Caenorhabditis elegans: one gene and its partner. The protein of the gene in region 1 interacts with the protein of each later gene in a pairwise test. Each region holds a gene or a part of one and is shown on either strand. Other genes may lie near its edges.

The links.
Region 2: the proteins of unc-15 (region 1) and unc-98 interact in a two-hybrid assay, tested with the Caenorhabditis elegans proteins (one study listed by BioGRID).

The regions. Positions count from the first base shown.
Region 1 is NC_003279.8:7,375,518-7,387,518, reverse strand, and holds unc-15 (Paramyosin), read left to right. Parts: upstream 1-4,321; 5' UTR 4,322-4,435; coding exon 4,436-4,552; intron 4,553-5,688; coding exon 5,689-5,745; intron 5,746-5,791; coding exon 5,792-5,878; intron 5,879-5,947; coding exon 5,948-6,058; intron 6,059-6,105; coding exon 6,106-6,161; intron 6,162-7,232; coding exon 7,233-7,452; intron 7,453-7,759; coding exon 7,760-7,864; intron 7,865-7,986; coding exon 7,987-8,918; intron 8,919-8,967; coding exon 8,968-9,097; intron 9,098-9,146; coding exon 9,147-9,923; intron 9,924-10,197; coding exon 10,198-10,224; 3' UTR 10,225-10,632; intron 10,633-10,697; 3' UTR 10,698-10,915; downstream 10,916-12,001. Other genes in the region: col-35 (Nematode cuticle collagen N-terminal domain-containing protein), read left to right, coding at 584-1,612. UniProt on the Caenorhabditis elegans protein: Structural component of the muscle thick filaments which is involved in assembly and organization of sarcomere myofilaments. Involved in ovulation.
Region 2 is NC_003284.9:7,568,728-7,578,494, reverse strand, and holds unc-98 (Zinc finger protein unc-98), read left to right. Parts: upstream 1-4,905; 5' UTR 4,906-4,920; coding exon 4,921-4,944; intron 4,945-4,992; coding exon 4,993-5,070; intron 5,071-5,160; coding exon 5,161-5,271; intron 5,272-5,501; coding exon 5,502-5,570; intron 5,571-6,118; coding exon of another isoform or gene 6,119-6,138; intron 6,139-6,359; coding exon 6,360-6,494; intron 6,495-6,536; coding exon 6,537-6,719; intron 6,720-7,522; coding exon 7,523-7,855; 3' UTR 7,856-8,121; downstream 8,122-9,767. Other genes in the region: pcyt-1 (Putative choline-phosphate cytidylyltransferase), read right to left, coding at 6,119-6,138; Apyrase apy-1, read left to right, coding at 8,775-8,885, 8,932-9,075, 9,192-9,256, 9,325-9,439, 9,514-9,767. UniProt on the Caenorhabditis elegans protein: Probable transcription factor required for muscle structure.

The DNA of each region.
Region 1 (12,001 bases):
TAGGTGAAGGCCTGCCTCCTAGACACAAAGTTGTACACACTGTTCGCGGTGAGCTAACAAAGAGAGAAGCTCTAATCGGTAAAAAAATGTTGCAAACAAACTCACTTTTTCAACCGAGAAACAAGAAAAATACGAACGTCGAGTTGCTCAAAACTTAGCAATGGCAAATATGAATTCAGAAACTTCATATTTATTAAACAAAATATTCGCCCGTGGAATCTTATTAAAATTAAATAAGAAAAATTCACGTTTTCAATTCATGCATAAATATGAAAATTTTCTTTTTTTTAAGTCTCTCGAAAAATTTTAGTTATCTCAATTGCTAAAACGATATTTTTCCACGGAACCTCAATTAGAAAAAATTAGTTCTGGAAGCATTATTCTGCCGGTATAGTTTCCTACAGTACTGCAGAAACTTTTTTATTCTCATAGTAAATGAATAGTAAAACATAAAACTAGATATCAAACGGTTGTGTTGTAATAAAAGATGAATATCGGAACAAGAAACCGATTGGATCAGTACAAAAATAATTCATATATAAGTAAGTGGAAATGGAAGAAAACATCACTCATTTGGTATCCAATGTCCCACAGTACATCCTATTATTTTATTCTTTCGTCGACGATCGGCTGCTCGTTGATCGTTGTCGCATCATTGCTGACTCTTTACTCAATTTCTCTTGATATTCAACAATTTGAAATGAATATCAACAGCGAAATGGTTCATTTCAAATCTCGAGCCAATGATGTTTGGAATAAAATGGTTCGAGAAAATCTTCCTCAGAATCAAGCAACGTCTCCATCATTTGGAAGATATATTCTTGCAAAGAGAGCTGCTGGATATGCAACCGGCGGAGGTACAGAAAGAGAATGTAACTGTGCTGCTCAATCAACTGGTTGTCCAGCAGGACCACCAGGAGCACCAGGAGAAGATGGAGCGCCTGGAGAGCCTGGAACCGCTGGAACTGATGGAGAGAATGGAGCTGCAGGAGTTGCTGATAGTTTCCTTGGAGTCGAAGGTAACTGTATCAAATGTCCTGCTGGACCACCAGGGCCACCGGGACCAGATGGAAATGCTGGACCAGAAGGACCATCAGGAGCTCCTGGAGCTGATGGAGATGCTGCTGGACCAGGAGAAGCTGGACCAGCAGGACCAGCCGGACCACCGGGGCCAGATGGGCAGCCAGGAGCACCAGGACCAAATGGACAACCAGGAGCCGCAGGAACTACAAGTACCAACGAACCGGGATCTCCTGGACCGGCTGGACCTCCAGGACCAGCTGGACCAGCTGGAGAAGACGCTGCTGCTCCAGAATCCCCACCAGGACCACCGGGGCCACCGGGCCCACCAGGAAAAGACGGAGAAGCAGGAGCTCCAGGAGCGCCAGGAGGGCCAGGAACAGATGGAGCACCAGGAGTCGACGCCGCCTATTGTCCATGCCCACCAAGAACAGCAGGATTGGCCCAAGAAGCTCCAGCAGGTGCTGCTACAGGTGCGGATGCAAGCTCTGGAGCTGCCGGTGGTGCACCGGATGCAGGAGCTGGAGCTGGAGATGGAGCCACAGGAACATACAGTGGAAGCGCTGTCGTCCGTCGTCGTGCTCGATTCTAATCAACTTAAATTTTTCTGGAATGTGATGAATTTTATTGCAATAAAATTTCTTCAAGCTAAACAGTATTGATTTTATTATTTTCAGCTGTAAACATTTGATAACATGAAACAAAAAATCATAGCAAAACCACATAAGCTCCTCTCGGTGCTTTCGAATTATTTTAGATATTTGTATAATATCAGAACAGTAACTTTCAAATGATTTCGAAACTATCTTCAAATACTCAATTCCGAAATTTTTAAAATTTTTTTCAAACAAATTTTTTTTTTCTAAAATCTGAACATTTTGACATGTTCCCTCTAATATTCTTTTGAAGATTGATCTCATGTTTCGGCTGAAATTTTTCATTATCGTCCTCCTTTGCTGAGTATCTATATCTCTTTTCCTCCCAGTTGCCAATACTTTAAAACAATAATGCGGGGCCGAAAAATGCTTCTTCATTCTTGCTCCTCGAGTAGCACAGAGAGAAAGATCCTCTGTGCTCCCGGACCCTTCTGCCATTTCAACGAAGGCACAAAAAGAAATGTGATAGAGAAGCATGTGTAGTAGAAGAAGAGTGTGAGATGTGGGCTTGTCACTGAAGAGTTCAGAGAGTGTACGGTGGCAAAAAAAGATATTGAGATGGCAGTGGAGACCGATGAGAGAGAATGGGCGGCTTCTGGAGGGAATTCTATTGAAGAGATTCTTTGTAATGATCACGAAAAAAATGGATGGACAAAAGATGGAAAGGTGACAAATATATAGCTATTAATCAAAATTGCATAACTTAAAAATATGCAAATATCTTTAAAAAATGTTGTTTTTAGATCTTCTCCTAATAAAAGGAATAGTGCTAAAAACAAAAAAGATAAAATGAAATACGGTCTACAAGTATATTTCACTTTAACATGTTTCACTGCATAAATCTGGAAGATATCAACAAATTAAAATGCTTTGATCTACCTTTGTTTTGGATAGTTGTCTACAAAATGATAAATCCAGTAGTTCCAAGTTTCTATCTTGAGAGAAAACTTACAGCATTATTAGCATATATTCTCGAAGTTATGTTAAAAATAATTTTAACAAGCGGCAGCACTGCTAGAAATCTTGTGGAAATCGTATGCAAGGTTTAACCAAAATCTGGCCTTACTAAAGTCTAACAAAAACTATTCAAAGGTATGTCCACTCTTTGTAAAAGTTAAATATAAATGGTCTACCGTTTTCTATTACATTTTATAAGTTTTTGTCACGTTTTGGAATGGAAATGTGCGACAATCGATATTTCCTCAGAAAGTTGTTAGCGGGGTAAAACCATCCTAGTTTTTGCAATCAATAAACATCAACTTACAATGTTCAAGATTTTTTCTTTATAATCAAATCTGAAATTAAGTTCAAACGAATGTCAGTACATTTCACCATCCCCTGCTTCTGCAACCAACTAATTATCTCGGTCATCACGATTTGTCAGCTGACACTGCTCAACAAGAGTATTTTGTTGTCTGGTTGATCAGTCGTAATGGAAGTAAAATTCTGAAAATTTAGAAAAGATTTTGAAATTTCACAACACTTATTTAAAAATGACATGAGTCACAAGAAGTAACGGGATTTGGAGTGAAAACGTTGATTTTTTGACGTCATGACACAATTTCAGTTTGAAAATCAGTTTATCAAGCCTATTTTTCATTAATGAAAAAACATTCGGAAGAGCCGATATATTGGAAATTGAATACCAAGTTATTATAGAAGTAATAAAAACTTGATTTCATCACAATTTGTTGTGATACGCTCCCCCACCCCCTCACACACGCACACACACACACATTCTCCGGGATACACTCAATTATTACACACTTCGCACTTATTTCTTCAGAATATGAGATCCAAGAACTTTTTAAAACATTGATCAGATCATATATGACAAGGCTATCAATTAAGGAAGTGTATTAATAGATATGGACAAGAAGAGAGCATAACTATCTGTAATTAAGGAATTTCAAATAGTTGACAACCGAGTTTTGGAATTCTTCAATATTTCGACTGTATAGACGTATTACCATTAATAGAAGACTTTTATAAATTTATGAAAATGGATCATCTAAAAGGTAACAGTATAGTTCTGAGAAACTTTAATGAAAATTGGAGACAACCCAGGCTTGAAGAGCCTGAATAAAGTAAGAGTTGATTACTGATAGGTGGAATGGCATTCGATTAATGGCAGTTCAGTCTCGCTTTTTCTGGTTTTGTGTTTCTTTTTTCTTAAGTGGTCTTCGTTTTACTATCCGTTCGTCAAAGTTCACACCTGCCCTTTCGGACATTCAAAAGGCACACACAAACACGAGTTGAAGTTTTTGGTGGATCCCGATGTTTTTTGTCTGTGCTCATCCCTTTTTGCTGAATTTCTTCCGTGTCGCCTCAACCCGAACCAAACCAATATCATTCGAATGTTTAAAACCTCCTGGCCCGCGGGTGCCTGATGCATCGTCTGCGCTTCGGCTCTCGGCGCGCTCTTCTCGAGATCGTATCCCGCCAACTCGTTGGCAAAAACACAATGGCATTTATCAGATACGCAGCGTAGAGTGGGAGGGTGGCTCAGTGCTAGGCAAGAAGGATTACACTGAGGCTCCTCTCTCGCTCCCTGCCGGGCACACTACCTTCGTAGAAGTTGATGATGAGAGATACTTGGAGACAGAGAGACGATCGACGACGCAACGGCGCGGGATGAGATATGTGTGTATGTGTCTTCCCGACGGCAGAGCCCCAACGCACAATCAGTCAGTCTCGAAGCAGCCAGCCAGCCAGCAGCACACACAGGGGCACCATCCATTTGAATACTCCATTTGATCATGTCATTGTATCGTTCGCCATCCGCTGCTCTTCTTAAGAGCCCGTCGCAAGCAGCGTTCGGTGCTCCATTTGGCAGCATGTCCGTCGCCGATCTTGGATCACTCACCAGACTCGAGGTAAATTTTTGAATGTTTTCTACCATTTCTGAACATTTCACTGCCAAAACCCCAAAACCCGTGTTCCATTTTTCATCGAATCGATGTTTCATTGACTGATATTTTGAATTATATCTGTAATTTAAATTTTAGTAAAAAAGGCATCTAATATAGCAACGAAGAATTGAAAAACTTGAAAAATCTCAAATTGTAGTTTTACAGTACTCCTCAGTCTCAAGAAAAATGTTTGTTTTGTCCCTAAATTGAATGATTGACAAATAACGGCGTTTTCAGTTTTGTAAATATTATTTTTCTGCATCAAAATGTATGGAATAAAACAATATTCCGAGCCAAAACACTATTTTCAGAAAAATTTTTAAACTTCCTAGTTTTCTCTATAATTAAACCTTTAGATTCCTTATTCTAAATCTTCATTTTGAAAAATCTGTTCATCATTCATCTCGGCAACTAGTTTCTTTGTGTAACTAAGATTTGCAACCTTTGTTTAACTTACTGCTTGCTTACATATATTTCCAAGAAAAAGTAGAACCCTAATTCTCAGATTTTCAAATATAGCACTTATAAAAAACAAAAATTACGCTTTTTTTCTTTGAAAAAACAATTATTTTTTGACCCCATATTTTCTCATGGTTCTAGCTACTGAATTTGCGATTATTGCCAATTGCCTGCAAAAACATTTTGTCAATTAAAATAAAAACAATTACCAAATCATTCGCTGGTCTATTTCCAAAAAATGCACTCTACGTCTCTCATATCTATAAGCTATTTTCACGTTTCTCTTATAATCTCCCACACTGTGTTGTAAAATTTCGAAGAAACCTAATGCATTATTTGTTAAGCTTAGATATCAATTCAAAAAAAAAACTAAATGGTAATATCGAATTGTATGCTACGAGTGTATTCTTGTCGTTTGATCTCAAGAAATTCCGGGACATTTAAATTTGTGACGTCAGGATGTTTATCTTCACAGTACTTTAAAAATATTCCCCACTCGGCACTAAATTTATAGGTCCGTGTAATAAGGTTCATCAAGAAGTTCAATCAGAATCGGAATCCATACTTTTTTTATCTGAATCAGTTCTTGAAACAATTAATTCTTCAAAGATTTTACAAATTAATACAGTTTCACTTTTCAGGACAAGATCCGTCTTCTCCAAGAGGATTTGGAATCAGAGCGCGAACTCCGCAACAGAGTGAGTTTTTACCTTTTATCTCTGATACCATGATTGCCATTTTCAGGTTGAACGTGAGCGTGCCGATCTCTCCGTTCAAGTTATTGCTTTGACTGACAGACTCGAGGATGCCGAGGGAACCACCGACAGCCAAGTGAGTTTCCAGTTTTTATGAATTTCAATTTAAAGAAACATCTTATACCTTTAAACATTATAATTACAGATCGAATCGAACCGCAAACGTGAGGGAGAACTCTCAAAGCTTCGCAAGCTCCTCGAGGAGTCTCAACTTGAATCCGAAGATGCCATGAATGTTCTCCGCAAAAAGCACCAGGTACAGTAATCTTTATGCTATAGCTTAAAGAATTCGTGAAATTTTAGGATTCCTGCCTCGACTACCAAGATCAGATCGAGCAACTCCAAAAGAAAAATGCCAAGTAAGTTATTATCTTTATTTTCTAAGTTTTTTTTCGTATTAGTACTTGTGCCTTCATTTTCTTCTTCTTCTTCTTCTATCTTCCCGCGTTGAAATGGCAGCGGAGGAGTTGGCGGCTCGGCAGAAGCTCTGAAGAAGAAGTATAAGAAGATGAAGAAGCATCAGCTCAAAGTGTGTAAAATAACAAACGTTTCTCGTGTGTGTGTGTTTGTTTCGCCTTCCAGGAAGAGATGAGAGAGATACAAGAATGTCTGCGTCTTACTGATCTTCTCAATATCTCTCACATTTCTCTCATTGATCTTGATGCTTGGCGAGCAATCTGCGTTCCCGTGAAACAGTGGTGGTGGTAAAAAATAATGAGATTAAGTTGGGATGAGAAGTTGAGATGAACGGGAAGGGGACAGCTTGAGAACTTGAATGACGAATGCATGAACATATTATAGAATATTTAAAAATGTAGTAAGGATCAAACATTATTTGTTTCATAACAAGGGGTTGCTAGCCTAGTCTTGCACCTCCTATCCTCTAGTTTTACAGCTCATATCTCGGTTATTTTTCATTTATGAACACATTTCAACAACAAAAATGCGTGAGAAATCCTGTATATTAATAGGAAAAATACTGTATTTTTCCCATTTAAATTACGATGGATTCATTTTATGATGTCTCTTTTTTTTGCTCAAATAACTTTCAATGAAATCAAGGAAAATCTTCCGTAATTTAAAACACATTTCTAGAATCTATGTTAATCTTTTAAACAATGTACATAGATGATCTATTCAGTTGTAAAATAAGTTTTAGTTGTTCCCTTCTTGCGTTCAAAAATCTTCGAGTTCAACTTTCCCATGAAAATAATTGTGTGCAACTCTTGACGTAATGTTTTTAAATCCAAAATTAGTTTATACTTTTCCACCCACTATCAATAGTTTCACCTGTCCAAACCGGCTGCTTTCTGACATCATTCATAGCCAAACATATTGTTGACACATCAAGAATTACTTGTTCGCCGCTGCTTGACTTTTTGTTAAATTCCAAATATCCTCCCATCCCACGCAATATCATCATCATTCAGGATCGACCGCGAACGCCAACGCGTCCAACACGAAGTCATCGAGTTGACCGCCACTATCGACCAGCTCCAGAAGGACAAACACACCGCTGAGAAGGCCGCTGAGCGCTTCGAAGCCCAAGCCAACGAACTTGCCAACAAGGTCGAGGACTTGAACAAGCACGTCAATGACCTCGCCCAACAACGTCAACGCCTTCAAGCTGAGAACAATGATCTTCTCAAGGTTTGTTTTTTGAAGTATCATGTGTATAATCTCTAGTTTTATCATCTTTATCACGTGCCACCGATCACTCTGCTCATCTTTCTACTTTTTTTTAGCAAAAAAATGCGGTAAAAAGAAAAAAAGAAACCCCTTTTAACAGGGGGTTTCTTTACTAAATTCTCTATTTTATCGCTACTATTTCCGCAGAGTGTGTGTGCAAATAGAGTACTCGAGATATTAGAAAGGAGGATGCTCTGTGAGCCTCATCGTTTTTTTGTCTCGTTCAGTGTGTTCTGTTAGCAGATCAGGGATCGTTAATGTTTTTCAGGAGGTTCACGACCAGAAGGTTCAACTCGATAACCTTCAACACGTCAAGTACACCCTCGCTCAACAGCTCGAGGAGGCCAGACGTCGTCTTGAGGATGCCGAGCGCGTAAGTCTACTAGTCCAAAGTGCCAAATTCAGAGGCGGAAATATCGGGTTTCTTCCTCTGACGCATTTCTGGACATTAAAAAAGCATAAACGTGCGAAGATCAAAGAACGTTGAAATTTCAGGAGCGCTCCCAACTTCAATCTCAACTCCACCAGGTTCAGCTCGAGCTCGACTCGGTCCGCACCGCTCTCGATGAGGAGTCGATTGCCCGTTCCGATGCTGAGCACAAGCTCAACCTTGCCAACACTGAGATCACCCAGTGGAAGAGCAAGTTCGATGCTGAGGTCGCCCTTCACCACGAAGAAGTTGAGGATCTCCGCAAGAAGATGCTCCAGAAGCAAGCTGAGTATGAAGAGCAAATCGAGATCATGCTCCAGAAGATTTCTCAACTCGAGAAGGCCAAGTCTCGTCTTCAATCTGAGGTCGAGGTTCTTATCGTTGATCTTGAGAAGGCCCAGAACACCATTGCTCTCTTGGAGCGTGCCAGAGAACAACTCGAGAGACAAGTTGGAGAACTCAAGGTCCGTATCGATGAGATCACTGTTGAACTCGAAGCTGCTCAACGCGAACTCCGTGCCGTCAATGCTGAGCTCCAGAAGATGAAGCATTTGTACGAGAAGGCTGTCGAACAGAAGGAGGCTCTTGCTCGCGAGAACAAGAAGCTCCACGACGAACTTCACGAAGCCAAGGAGGCTCTTGCCGACGCCAACCGCAAGCTCCACGAGCTCGACCTCGAGAACGCCCGTCTTGCCGGAGAAATCCGTGAGCTCCAGACTGCCCTCAAGGAGGCTGATGCTCAACGCCGTGACGCCGAAAACCGCGCTCAACGTGCCCTTGCTGAGCTCCAGGCTCTTCGCATCGAAATGGAACGTCGTCTCCAAGAGAAGGAAGAAGAGATGGAGGCTCTTCGCAAGAACCTTCAATTCGAAATCGACAGACTTATTGCCGCTTTGGCTGATGCCGAGGCCCGCATGAAGTCCGAGATCTCTAGACTGAAGAAGAAGTACCAGGCTGAGATCGCTGAGCTCGAGATGACTGTTGATAACCTTAACAGGTAAATACTAATTTTTTCAACATTCAACCCTTAAATTCATAAATTACAGAGCTAACATCGAAGCCCAGAAGACCATCAAAAAGCAATCGGAGCAACTCAAGATTCTCCAAGCCTCATTGGAGGATACTCAACGTCAGTTGCAACAAGTTTTGGACCAATATGCCCTCGCTCAACGCAAGGTGAGTTATCATTTTTGTGGTCTCTTAATTCATTTTTATATATGTTTAGGTCGCCGCTCTCTCTGCTGAACTCGAGGAATGCAAGACCGCTCTCGACAACGCTATCCGCGCCCGTAAGCAAGCCGAGGTTGACCTCGAGGAAGCCAATGGACGTATCTCCGACCTTATCTCCATCAACAACAACCTCACCTCCATCAAGAACAAACTCGAGACTGAGCTCTCCACCGCTCAAGCTGATTTGGATGAGGTCACCAAGGAACTCCACGCCGCTGATGAGCGCGCCAACCGTGCTCTTGCTGATGCTGCCCGTGCCGTTGAACAACTTCATGAGGAACAAGAACACTCGATGAAAATCGATGCCTTGAGAAAGTCTCTTGAGGAGCAAGTCAAGCAACTCCAAGTTCAAATTCAAGAAGCTGAGGCTGCCGCTCTTCTCGGAGGAAAGAGAGTCATCGCCAAGTTGGAGACCAGAATCCGTGATCTTGAGACCGCTCTTGATGAGGAAACCAGAAGACACAAGGAGACCCAGAATGCCTTGAGAAAGAAGGATCGCCGCATCAAGGAGGTTCAACAACTCGTTGATGAAGAGCACAAGAACTTCGTTATGGCTCAAGACACCGCTGATCGTCTTACCGAGAAGCTCAACATCCAGAAGAGACAACTTGCTGAGTCCGAGTCCGTAACAATGCAAAACCTCCAGAGAGTCCGCAGATACCAACACGAGCTCGAGGATGCTGAGGGCCGTGCCGATCAAGCCGAGTCCAGCCTTCACCTCATCCGTGCCAAGCATCGTTCATCTGTTGTCACCGGAAAGTCATCCTCCAAGGTATTTTAATTTTCTTTTTTTGTTGAAAATACTTTGATTTGTCAATACTTTAGATTTTATGTTAAACGCTCATAGTTAGAATAGACAAATACTTTAATCAAAAATGGTTCTAATTTCAATAAGAAAATTTCAAGAATTGTTTTTGTCTGTGTCGGAAAACAGAAATCCTGAGCAACTACTACTTATCATTTTATCTTTAAAAAAATTTGTTCCCAACACCTTAATTATTTTACGTCACTTGTTTTTCACATTTTTCGTTTGTTTTTTCTTGCAGATTTTCGTCACGGAAGACGATTATTAAACATCCCAAAAAGCGTCGCCATACATCAAATCATCAAATAAATTGCTAATAAGATGTGTATAATTGTTTTATTTTTCTTCTCTATTTCTTTCATGTTCTTCTTCTCTTTCTTTTTAAATTTTCAATTATTTCTCTCCCCAACAAATGCGCCCATCCGCTTTTTCTATCGTTCTTCCATCACTAAATCTTCTCGACTATCTTTTTGTTCTGTCCCACTGCCCCTCGTGCTTCTGACTGACTGTCCCCCAATCAATATTTCGAACAATTAGGTCAATCGAGCGACATCATTTCCCACCCACAATTCATGTTTTCCCATCAATTTTTAATACAAATTTATTCAATGTTCCATCCAAACCATCCCGAGTCCCTGGTTGCATAAGAAATCGTCGTCAATAAAAATTTTGATACAAATTAAGCCTGAAATTTCAAAGTAAAACAATAAAATCAAAGTCTTGACGAGATCGCTACCTGCAGATGAGATGATGCAATCGCAACCAGGATACGGTAGAAATTGTGGTATGCGCTGTTTTCTTCTCATATCCCATTACTTTCCTACTTCTCTTCAATTTTAATATTCAAAGTTTCGCCTAGATGATAATTTTTGTTGTTTTATCCAATCAGTTTTTATCATTCGGGCCACAAAACACCCCCGTTTCACAACAATAAAAAATGTTAAAAACAAATTAAAAAATATTTTATTTCAAACATTATTGCTCCAAGTCTGAAATTATTCCAGATGGAATCACATCCGAATAGACTTTAAAGTTAGAGAAGCGCCCGTGAGAGCTGTGATATTTGGTAATTTCAGTAGAATAAGATAATTTTTGGAAATTATGCCAAAAATCCAAAATGTCATTTTTCATGAAGAAGGTAATTTCTTTTTATTGTGAAATTCGCTCTGAAGCATTTTTGAATTGGTTCCATATTTTGAAAGCTTCAAAATGGTGTAAAAAATAAATAAGATGTATTTTCAAAGTTCACGATAATAACCCGCTTGACTACTTTCAAAAAAAATTGTTCTAAGAATACCGGAAAGTGTATGGAGTCTGGAAACTGAAAAACACTGAAATATAACATTTTGATTAGTACTTGAAAAATAGCAATAATTGAATATACATTTTAAATTAAAAGTGAACTCAATATCATATTTTCTAGGAATTCTTATTTTTATAGACACTTTTTATAGATTGTAAAACAATTTCAGAATCAATTTTATAAATTGTTTATTGTTTATAGCACATTGTTCCCATAGAGCACATTATTCAATTATTTTGTAATAATTGAGAAAGCTACATTTCAATTCGGTTACTCTCGATGTTCAGAAAAACAGAAATAAACTAATTGCGTAAATAATTCTATTTGGCCCGGTGCATTTAATAGATTAATCATTGAACAAAAGACCAAATAGAACTCAATTTCAAGTATTGTTTAAAAATTATGAAATGATCAATATAAAAATATCTTAAAAAAGGTAAATGCATTATTATTTTTCAAAAATTTCTTTTCAAATTTGCAATTACGTTTCATATTCCATGAGTTTTGGAAACATTTTTACTTTAGTAATTCTTCAAGAATCTCGAATTTTAATGTAGAATTTGGCTAATAACCAGGTATTCTTGGAAGTTCTCAAAATAATTCTCAATCAGCATCGTTAAACTTTTGCAATGAGCTCAAGATCTCAACCATAACATGGGAGGTACAAGGTTCAACATGTCACGTATATATTTGTTGTGTACGCACGTAATTTTGCAAGAAGGATGATGTAATGCTAAAGATG
Region 2 (9,767 bases), on another chromosome or scaffold:
GTTTCACAATCGACCTAAGCCGAGCCTGACAAAGTGTGCAACGCCACGTGGGCAAATTTTTAAAGAAGTGATGTCACAAATTTAAAATTCTGTGAGTTGAAGCCACGCAAAACGTGCCAATGGAGAGTGCGTGCAAAAATTTTCGAATTAGAGAACTAGTGAAAATAAGGGAAGAAGCGGTGTTAGAAAGGGTCGATGGAGAAGGCGAATGGGGGGAAAAAAGACGCTGGACGGAGCGGAAAAAGAAACATAAAAGATGAACGTGGCACATTGCTTTTTTGCTTTTTTGAGTTCCCTTTTTAAGCGATGTTTTCACAGAAAAATAGTTTTTCTTAACAAAGGCTTTTTTTAAGTTTTGAAACTTTTTTTTGAGTTGACAAACTCTTTGAAAATCTAAAATCTGACGTGAACATTATACGCATAATTTTAACTCTAAAACTACAACAATAAATGGAAAAAAATGTCTCAGCTAATGCATTAATTCTTTGTTGTTTGTTTCGAGTTTCGCAACACACAAGAGAAAATGGCAAAAAAAATATGTGACACATGGGCAAACAGAACTAGTGATGGGACCCAGGCAACTAAAGAAAAAATGTTAGCATTTATATTTTTTGTTTTTTAGCATCTTCCGAAAAAGCGTATAATTAAGACGCTGTAAGGATAAGAAGCAGAGAGACACAGAGAAAAGAAGAAAAAAAAACAAAACAACTTGAGAAGACGACAAAAACCAAGCAGAAGGGCAGCCGAACAGAGCGCAACACGCGGCGAACAGCCATCTGGGCAATGAGCCACCAGGTTATACTACTACATTCGTTGTGTTTGTTTGTGTGGTCGAATGACACCACGCACAAAAAAATGGAGGCCACGGGAAATGATGGGCCAAAGAGAGAGAGAGAGAGAGAGAGAGGTGGTAAAGATGAAGAAGAAGATTTGAATGCGCGATTAGAAAAGAAAGTCACAGATGAGTCATTAAAGAAATTATGAGAAGGTCTAAGGAATTGAAATGTTTGTGTCTATTCTTGCCAGAAAATATAAATTTTGGCTTTCTGGTGCCTTTTAGATATTGGAAGTTTTATAAACATTTTTCTACATCCAGTTAACAGTGGAGTATCACCAGTAGGGACATTCTTAAAAAAACACTTCAATTGTGCAAAAATTACAAAATTTCATAGTGAAACCTTTCGAAAAAATATACAAAAGGTTTATTGAGAGTTACTGATATTGCTTTTTTTTGAGAAAACTATAGACTGCCGCATGTTCGAATCCCTACAATGGGGGAATATTAATATTTGTATTTGAAATTAATGTTGAAACATAAGTACTTACTTACTTACTTACTTAGTAGACTATAAAATACCAATGTAAAATTGTTTGATCGAAGACTACCAAAACAGTGGCAAGAAATTAGTAAAGATCATTTTAAAACAAAATAACAACTTTTCAACAACTTTTTGAAAATTTTACTTTGATATTGGATTAAACTGACACCTTATAAGTAGTTTTAACAACTTCCCTAGTGGTGCTACTTCACTTTTAACAAGTCTGTAGAATTTGGCACCTGACGCGGTCATTATGAATAAGATCGTGGCGAGACCCAAAAACAACGTGTGCCTTTTAATTGTTACGTCAAAGTTTTTTTAATTGATAAGTCAAAATTATGATAGCAGTTTCATTTGCATTTCTAAAAACTTATAAAAAAACACAAATTGTCAGATTAAAACTAAACTTAAATTCCACATCTTAAAAAGCACTTGTTATGAACGATAATTTTGGATAAACTTTATTTATTTACATAGGTATATAGTATTTATCTCATTAGTCTTGTTTGCCAAAGTGGTACTGTCATTGTTGTTATCAACAATACGCGTCAAAGAAAATTTTTGAAAAACTATTTTAAGTGATCATAGATTTCAAAGAATGGATGTGATATACCAATGATAAATACATTGATAACGTTTGGAAAACACTATTAATCATAACAACACATACTTCACCTTGTAAATTATTTTATTGCAGAGCCACCAAAGTTTCTTCAAATATATAAGATTCCGTTGGTTGACCCCAACTGCTCAAAAGTTTAATTGAAAAAAAACGGCAAGATAAATTTTTATTACACAACTTTTCTGATAGAAGTTTTGCTCCTAGTGTTAGGATTCTTGAACACCCATTACAACTCCAAACCCAACGGTACAAAGGTAAAAAACGAAAGTTAGTGAGGTGATTTGATTCATGCCATAATTGACGCAATAGATCTGTACTCTTAGAGGTTTCATTGACCCATCCATTATTGCTTGCCAAACGTTCTCTTATCTCATTTTCCCCTCAATCTGTCCACACTTTCTTCTCTTTGACACGAAAGAATTGAGGCCAACTGATAAAGATACAACTCAAAGAATCACTATACAAAAAGGTCATTCTTCGTGTTCATTTTTTCATGTTTCTCTCTACCATGAAAATATGACGTGCCGAGTCGGTGTAGTGCATTAAGAGCAAAAGTCAAGAGGAACCATTACAGAAAATGTTAGGGTGGTTTGCTGGGAGAGAAATTAGTTGTTTATGAGAAGAAGAGAAAAGAATGAAAAATGAGACTCTGGACTCTGGAACTACTCTGATTTCATAGCATTTGATAGCGGCCACCACTGCGGTAATGCACGTTTATTGGAAAAGATGGAATTCGGATTGAAAGTTTAATTTTCGGATTGGAAAACGATAAAGGTGATTTTAAAAAAATCATTTTCATAGTTATTCATCAACTTGAGACGGAAAGTTGGAATGTTTTCATTGACGGACTAGACAAAATATGTTGACTGTTACTTGGTAATAAAAATAGATAGAATTTGTCATTTGAATTTAAAAGTTATGAATTAAGGCATTTTATATCGAGTGTGATGGATTTCAGGTAATTCTCTGATAATAAACGCGAAGAAACCGGAAATATAGACATGGTGCGTTGTTCTAAATTCATATTCAAAATGTTCCTCTGCCCACAAAATGAAATTAATATTTGACACTAAAAACGAATGTAGTATTAAAAAAAGAACCAATAATTTGATCCTATAAAAACGTTTTAAAATGTACCAGTTTTTTTAAATTTTTATTTATTCGTTTATTAGCTTTTTACCCCTTGAAATTTATCAAGGGGTAAAAAGCTAATAAACGCTGCGAAGGCGGGGCGGGAACGTTTAACCGGTAATAATGTAGTTTTACTGTTCCATAAGGGAAGATACTTATGTAAGAAGTTTTTGTGAGGCCACAAGTACACAGTAAGTATGGAAATCTAGGAGGTCCGGCTTTTCTGACAAGAGAGGATTTTATAAAGTAGGGCTATTGGTTCGTGGTATAAACGTATTGACTCAAAATGTGCTGGAAAAAAAAAACAAATTTCGTAGTGAGTCGCTTGTTCTCTTTTAAAACTTTATATTTAGCCCGAGTAGTGAGACTGTTTCATATACCGTATTTCTTCTATTAGTCTTGCATGCAAGACTAATTTTCCATTGGTCTGTAGGGTTGCAAGACTATTAGAGGCTGCAAGACTAGTTTTCGAATGCCCCATCTTTGAAAAAATGACCTATTTTTTGTTGAAAACTTAACTCGATAGCTTGCTGAACGATAAAAATATATACTTTTGCAATATTTCATAAATTATTTGATCATTTTCTAGGTTATTTTCTCAAAAATATCAAATTTGCTGACGTTTCCGCAAAGTACTACTGGTCTTGAAAAAAGAGGGATGCAAGACTATTAGAGACTGCAAGACTAATAGAGGCTGCAAGACTAATAGAGGAAATACGGAAAACTGTTTTTTAATGAAAAAGGGTCTGGTTACTTTATACTTGTTAAAAATTTAACAATTAAATGCATTTTTGTTGTGTAAAATTTCAACATTGGTGCACTTTTAGCCCGCTTGTGATGCATGAAAGAAAGATCCGATCAATCCAGAAGGTGGTGCAGCTCCAGTAAAATGTTTATTCCAATTAAAAGTCATAAAAGTCCCACATAACCGTTTAGATTCTTGAGAATTTTCATTCAAAGTTGTGGTAAATTGCCACAACTAGAATAAGTTGAACCTATGAAAAATATTAGAGCAATTCTGCATTTTTTTAAATGTCTACAATATATGTATATACAAATGATCAAATCATAGTTAGAATATGAAACTTGTATGTAGAAAAAACTATTTTTGCCGTGTTCCAAGATTGTGATTTGTGAAAACTGAATGATAACTACCTTTTTGAAAGCAAAATTATTTTAGATTATTTATCACTGTATAAAGGAGTGATTACAAAAAATCACCCTGACCGATGCTTCACATTTAAAACAATAGCTTCATAATCCTGCATAGTTTCAAATAATAGTTTTACAGTATGTAATTTAATATTTTTACAATTCATATTGAATAATTTCTAAAATATAAACTTCGTTGATCCTTTTCGATTATTATTTCAAAAAAAAAGTACTCTTTCTTTTGTTTGTACCCACATCTCCAAATCATTTGCACGTGTTCAACGTACTACACAAAATGTATGTCACCCACAAACACTAGCATCTGTGCCATTCATTTCAGAAACATGATTCCGCTTTGAAGTTATGTCGAGCACTGCAATCTAGACGCTTTTTTTACTTGTGTCGTCAAGATCTCTTTCTTCTTTAAGACAGTTGAGCAAGATTGAGGGAGACTGCAGACACAGAAGTGTCCCGCAAAACATCCAACGAGGAAAGGAAATGAGAGAGCGGGAGCATTTCAAAAGAGCACATCAGATCCAGAGATTGCAGAGGCGATTTCTCGCATTTTTCGATCGCGACGAGTCTCTTGAGTTTACACTGTGTGTTGAGCACCCCAGCTAGCCACACCGAGCATTCTACCCTCTGACAATTTTCACCCCCATTCCGACGACTAACCGCTGATATCCAGATACAACAATGGATGACGACATCTTCAAAGAGGTATTGTTCTTGATCACTGTGAGCTTTACTTAAATTTGAATTTTTTAGGCAAGAAAGGAAAGAGATGACTTCGAAGAGTTGATGAATGCCTGTGATCTTGCCAAGATGTCCGTGAAGAACAATGAAGTGAGTTAGAGAAACCGAGAGATGACGGAAAAACCGGAGAAAAACGCGGGGGTGTCTGTATTGCGAAATGATTAAAAAAATACCTTCCAGATGGTTCATGGTCTAGAAACCTTCGGCATCAATGGAGAATCGTCAGAAAATGGAAATAAGGAAAAGCCCAAAGAGATCATGAAAGTTGTTGCCCCAACAGTTGAAGCATATGTGAGTTTGGTAAAATTTAAAAAAAAGAATTTCAGAGATTGAAATGTTTGATAGGTTTTAAGGCAAATTTTTTTAAATGTTTTTAAGATTGGATTCATACTGACATTTTTCAACCCTTGGATACAAGTGAAAAAATGTTGAATTATCTGAATAGTGTCTGAAAACGCTTAAATACTTTAAAACAGCGCCATCCTAATTTGATTTTAAAAGCATCAAGTAAATTATTGTAGGTCGGAAGTTCAAGTGCTCAAACTCCAACAAAATCGAGTGGCGGTGCTTTGGATGGCAGTGATCAACAGGTTTGTTTTATTGTTTTTATGAAGTGTGTGTTTTTGTGCATTTTTTGTTGAATAGTTCGTGCTTTGAATAATTTTTAATTAAAAAAACATTGATTAGGAATGTAGTCTATAGGTTTGTACAGGCAAAATTTCCGGAGAAAATGAAACTATATTTTTTGAGTTGTTTGAGAGAAATTGTTAATTTTTTGCTGAATTTTAGATAGTTTAGAAAAGGTTTTATTTTCTAATTTTATAATTAGCATACTAGTAAAAACTTATTTGCCAGAATACACAAAGACAAACTCAGTTCTAATTTAATTTAAATTTAGCCCATTGTCGAAGTAACCATGTCCTGTACATTTGTTGGAAGAGAAAGCTCAGCAGGATGCTAAGAAGAAAAAAAAACAAATTATGATTTTTGTTGTTTGTGATTTTATTTTTCTCTTATCATTTTCAAATACTAACTTGGAATATAATTTCTTGCTGCTCCTTATGCTTTTTTCCTTCAACCTATCCATTTCCATTCTTCTCCTTTCCCAAGCTAATTCACATGGGTATTGTTGACTTACTCTTGTTTGTGAATAAACATTTTGCTGTTGTTGTTGAAGTTGATGCGCTCACTTTCAGCACACGAACCAAATGTGCGGAATATAGATGTGAGCATTGACAGCTTGAATGTGAAAGAATGAGGGAAATGGGAATAAAAGGAAGAAAAATATAAGATGAAGGAAAAACTGAAGAAGGGAGGGAATGAAGAAGGCGTTAAATGAAAAAGAGACTCTTTTAGTCGATGAAAAGTGATTATTGCAGGAAGTGCGTCAGGACGGAACTAGTGTGCAAAAAGATGACAACGGATTTGTATTCTACAAGTGTCGTTTCTGCGGACTCACATTCAACTTCATGAACACTCTCCGTGCACACGAGAGAATACATGACGTTTCACAGGTTTTCATTCGCTGGATTACTTATAGAAACTCTTTGTTTCAGCCATATGTCTGTGGAAAATGCGGAGACTCATTTGAATTTGCTTGCCAACTGGAATATCATGCCGCTCAGCACTCAGAAATTGACGGGTACAAGTGTGAATGCGGAAGGACGTTCTTTTCTTACACGGAAATGTTATATCACAAGCACACGGACGATCCACTCGAATTGATAGGTGCTCCAGAGGTTTGTCTAATTGAGAAATCTGAGAAATAATAAATTTACTAGATTTTACTAATCAGTAGAGCTTTTTGAAACAAAATCTGAATTACGAACTTCTCGGAAAAAAATCAACAGAATCTAGCTATGGCTGTTTTAATGTTTGATTTTTTATTCTTCAGTTCTTTCGACTCAAAATCTATCAAAACCTTTTCATCCAGCCATTCGCTTTTCAATTTTGTATTTGGTTTTCATAGTCCTTGATGTGAGAAAATTGTGAACAAAAACTTTGTGTGTCTTGGCTTTCTGACGTAAAAAAAATATTTTTCTCAACAAAAAAAAATTGCTGATAGCCTGTGAGAGGGTGCAATTTGATACGACTGCACTTACTTCTTGCATCACAACTGTTAAACAGATGGAATTTCAGTGCAAAAAAAAGAAAACGTTATGAAACAGAAGTTATGAAACCGAAGAAAGTTCCAAATTTAAAAACATGTTTTGGTCGTTTACCTTACGTTGTTTTGTTAATGAAGATACGTTTCAAGCAATTAGGGACCAAAAATTACCACAATTTGCTACCTAAGTCTTTGTGACTGGGAAAAATTGAAACAACTCGAGTTTTTGACTGAAATTTGGGTATTGCCTTTTCAAAATTTTGAACCCCCATAAACAAGTTTTTAAGTAATTTTTGAGAAGTAGTATTTCAAATTTCGTTCGTTTGGTTTTGTTAAAAATCACACGGAAAAAAAGCCGAAACCGTTTTTTTACTTTAACAAGGAATACATTTGTGAGAAGAATGAAGATTACCAATATAATTTGAAATACTTCAGACAACCACAATAAAAGTAAGCAAGAAGCGAGTCCTACCGGTCTCCGAGCAAGATCTTCCACAGCCAGCTTTCGTTACTGAAGGATACGAGCCGAAGCATCCACTCCGAGTGTACAACGACGTTCGTTCAAAACCATACATTTGTGAATATTGTTCGAAAAGCTACTCTGACAGTCGTGGTCTTGCATATCACATGTACAGTCATCGTGGAGAGAAGTACTTCAATCCTCGAGCATCTCGTTATATGATGGGAAGGGAAGGAGTTGGGTACACTGATTCCAGAAGCTACTATTTATTCCCAAGAACAAGCGGATACGTGACTCCGCGATTCTGAGCAACCCCTGAGTATTTAAAATTTTTCTAATTTAGTATTTAAATCTATCCAGATCTTGTAAAATATATATATATTTCAACATCGGCTAGCTTTAACAATATTTGTCCTTCAAAATGTATATTCGATATGGTTCTTTCATATAACTCATATTTCTTTCTTTCAACTAAATCAACGTTTTTCTTTAGTGTTATCGTTTTCTCATTTCTTGTCATTTTGTCTTTTCCTCACATTTTTAAGACGCTCGTTATAAAGACGGTCAGCAGCAGAAACTCGTTTTGTGTTCAACATAAACTACAATTGACTACAAAGCACAAAAATCGTGTGTTTCCAACGCACTCAGACACACTCTATAAATACTGTTCTCGTCATGTCTTGTTGGTATTTTCTTCTTTCCCTGAAATATCGATTCCTGGTCAATCGTACAATTGGGACCATGTTAAGCGGGAAAGACATTGACCGCTAGCACAAATGTTGTCCGGCTCTCTCACAATCAATCTTTCTTCTGTGATGTGTTACGACAACCCACAACCGATTTTTTGATAGCAAAAATGATAAGATGATGATAGCGAGACAGCTCAATTGTTCGTTGTTCTAGAAGTTGTACGTTTTTTTAAATTTATTTTGCATCATTTTGAATTCATTATTTAAAAATGTATAAAATTGTTTAATTAACGGTTCTCGAAATATTTTGCCACTTCACAGCCACGATATCTCACTCAATAAAGCAAATGCAATTTGGGACACGCACTTGTGTTCGTTATTAATATCGAGTCCCCATTGAAAAAACTAGGCCACGCGGCCGTGAAGTACTCTCGGAAAACTACACCATTTTTTATTTTTTTATTCTACTTATATTTTCTCAAATCTCTTACTTTCAATTAATGCTTATAATTAAGACTCACAAAAATAATTTTTAGGTATGACACAAGAAAGTAACTCAAACTTTTTCAACTTCCTTCTTTTCGGGTTTGTGACCGCTATTGCCTTTTATTCGGGTACCCAATTCAACAAATCTAGCGAACAGGAAGAGGTAACTCTTTACATTTTCAGCTGATTGCGCACATATCCATTTACAGCACATCAACCATGCTAACTTGTATTCGGTAAAGAAGTTTGATGATGGAGCAAAAGAATACTCAATAATGTTGATCACCGATTTGGATCATGACAGCAAAGACGGGAAGAAGTGGAAAAGTTTGGTCTCTCGTGGATTTTTGAAGGTGAGAAGGACGGCAAGAAACTAATGCATTATGCTCAGCTTGACCAATATGATTTTTATAAAATGCAACTTGCTTTTTTCGAATCGCTATAGGAAATTTTCAAATTTATATTTCAGGTTTCTGCAGACCACAAGCATGCCGATATTCATTTTGACAAAGACTCGGAGTACTATGTTGACACGTAAGTTTACAAAATGTGTTTTTATAGATTTTTTTGTTTTGACTTCATTACTAAAATCATCATTTTAGAAATATTGCCGCCGGTGGACGCGCTATGGAGTTGTCTGACCTTGCCGTCTTCAATGGTAAACTGTACTCAATTGACGATAGAACAGGTCTTATTTATCAAATTAGTGACAAGAAGGTGAGTGATGAGTGGTTAAACAATGATATTTGTGTAGTGGATTGATTTTTAAAAAATATAATATTGTTTTGAAGGCACTTCCCTGGGTATTACTGAACGATGGGCCAGGAAACGTCGTGAAGGGATTTAAAGGAGAATGGATCACTGTTAAGGATACCGAATTGATTGTTGGAGGATTGGGAAAAGAATGGACGACCACTGACGGAGTTTATGTGAACGATCACCCAATGTGGGTGAAGCATGTCTCTGCTCACGGAGCCGTTCATCACGAAAACTGGAAGGATGTATATATCCGCGTTCGTAGAGCTGCTGGGATCGAATATCCCGG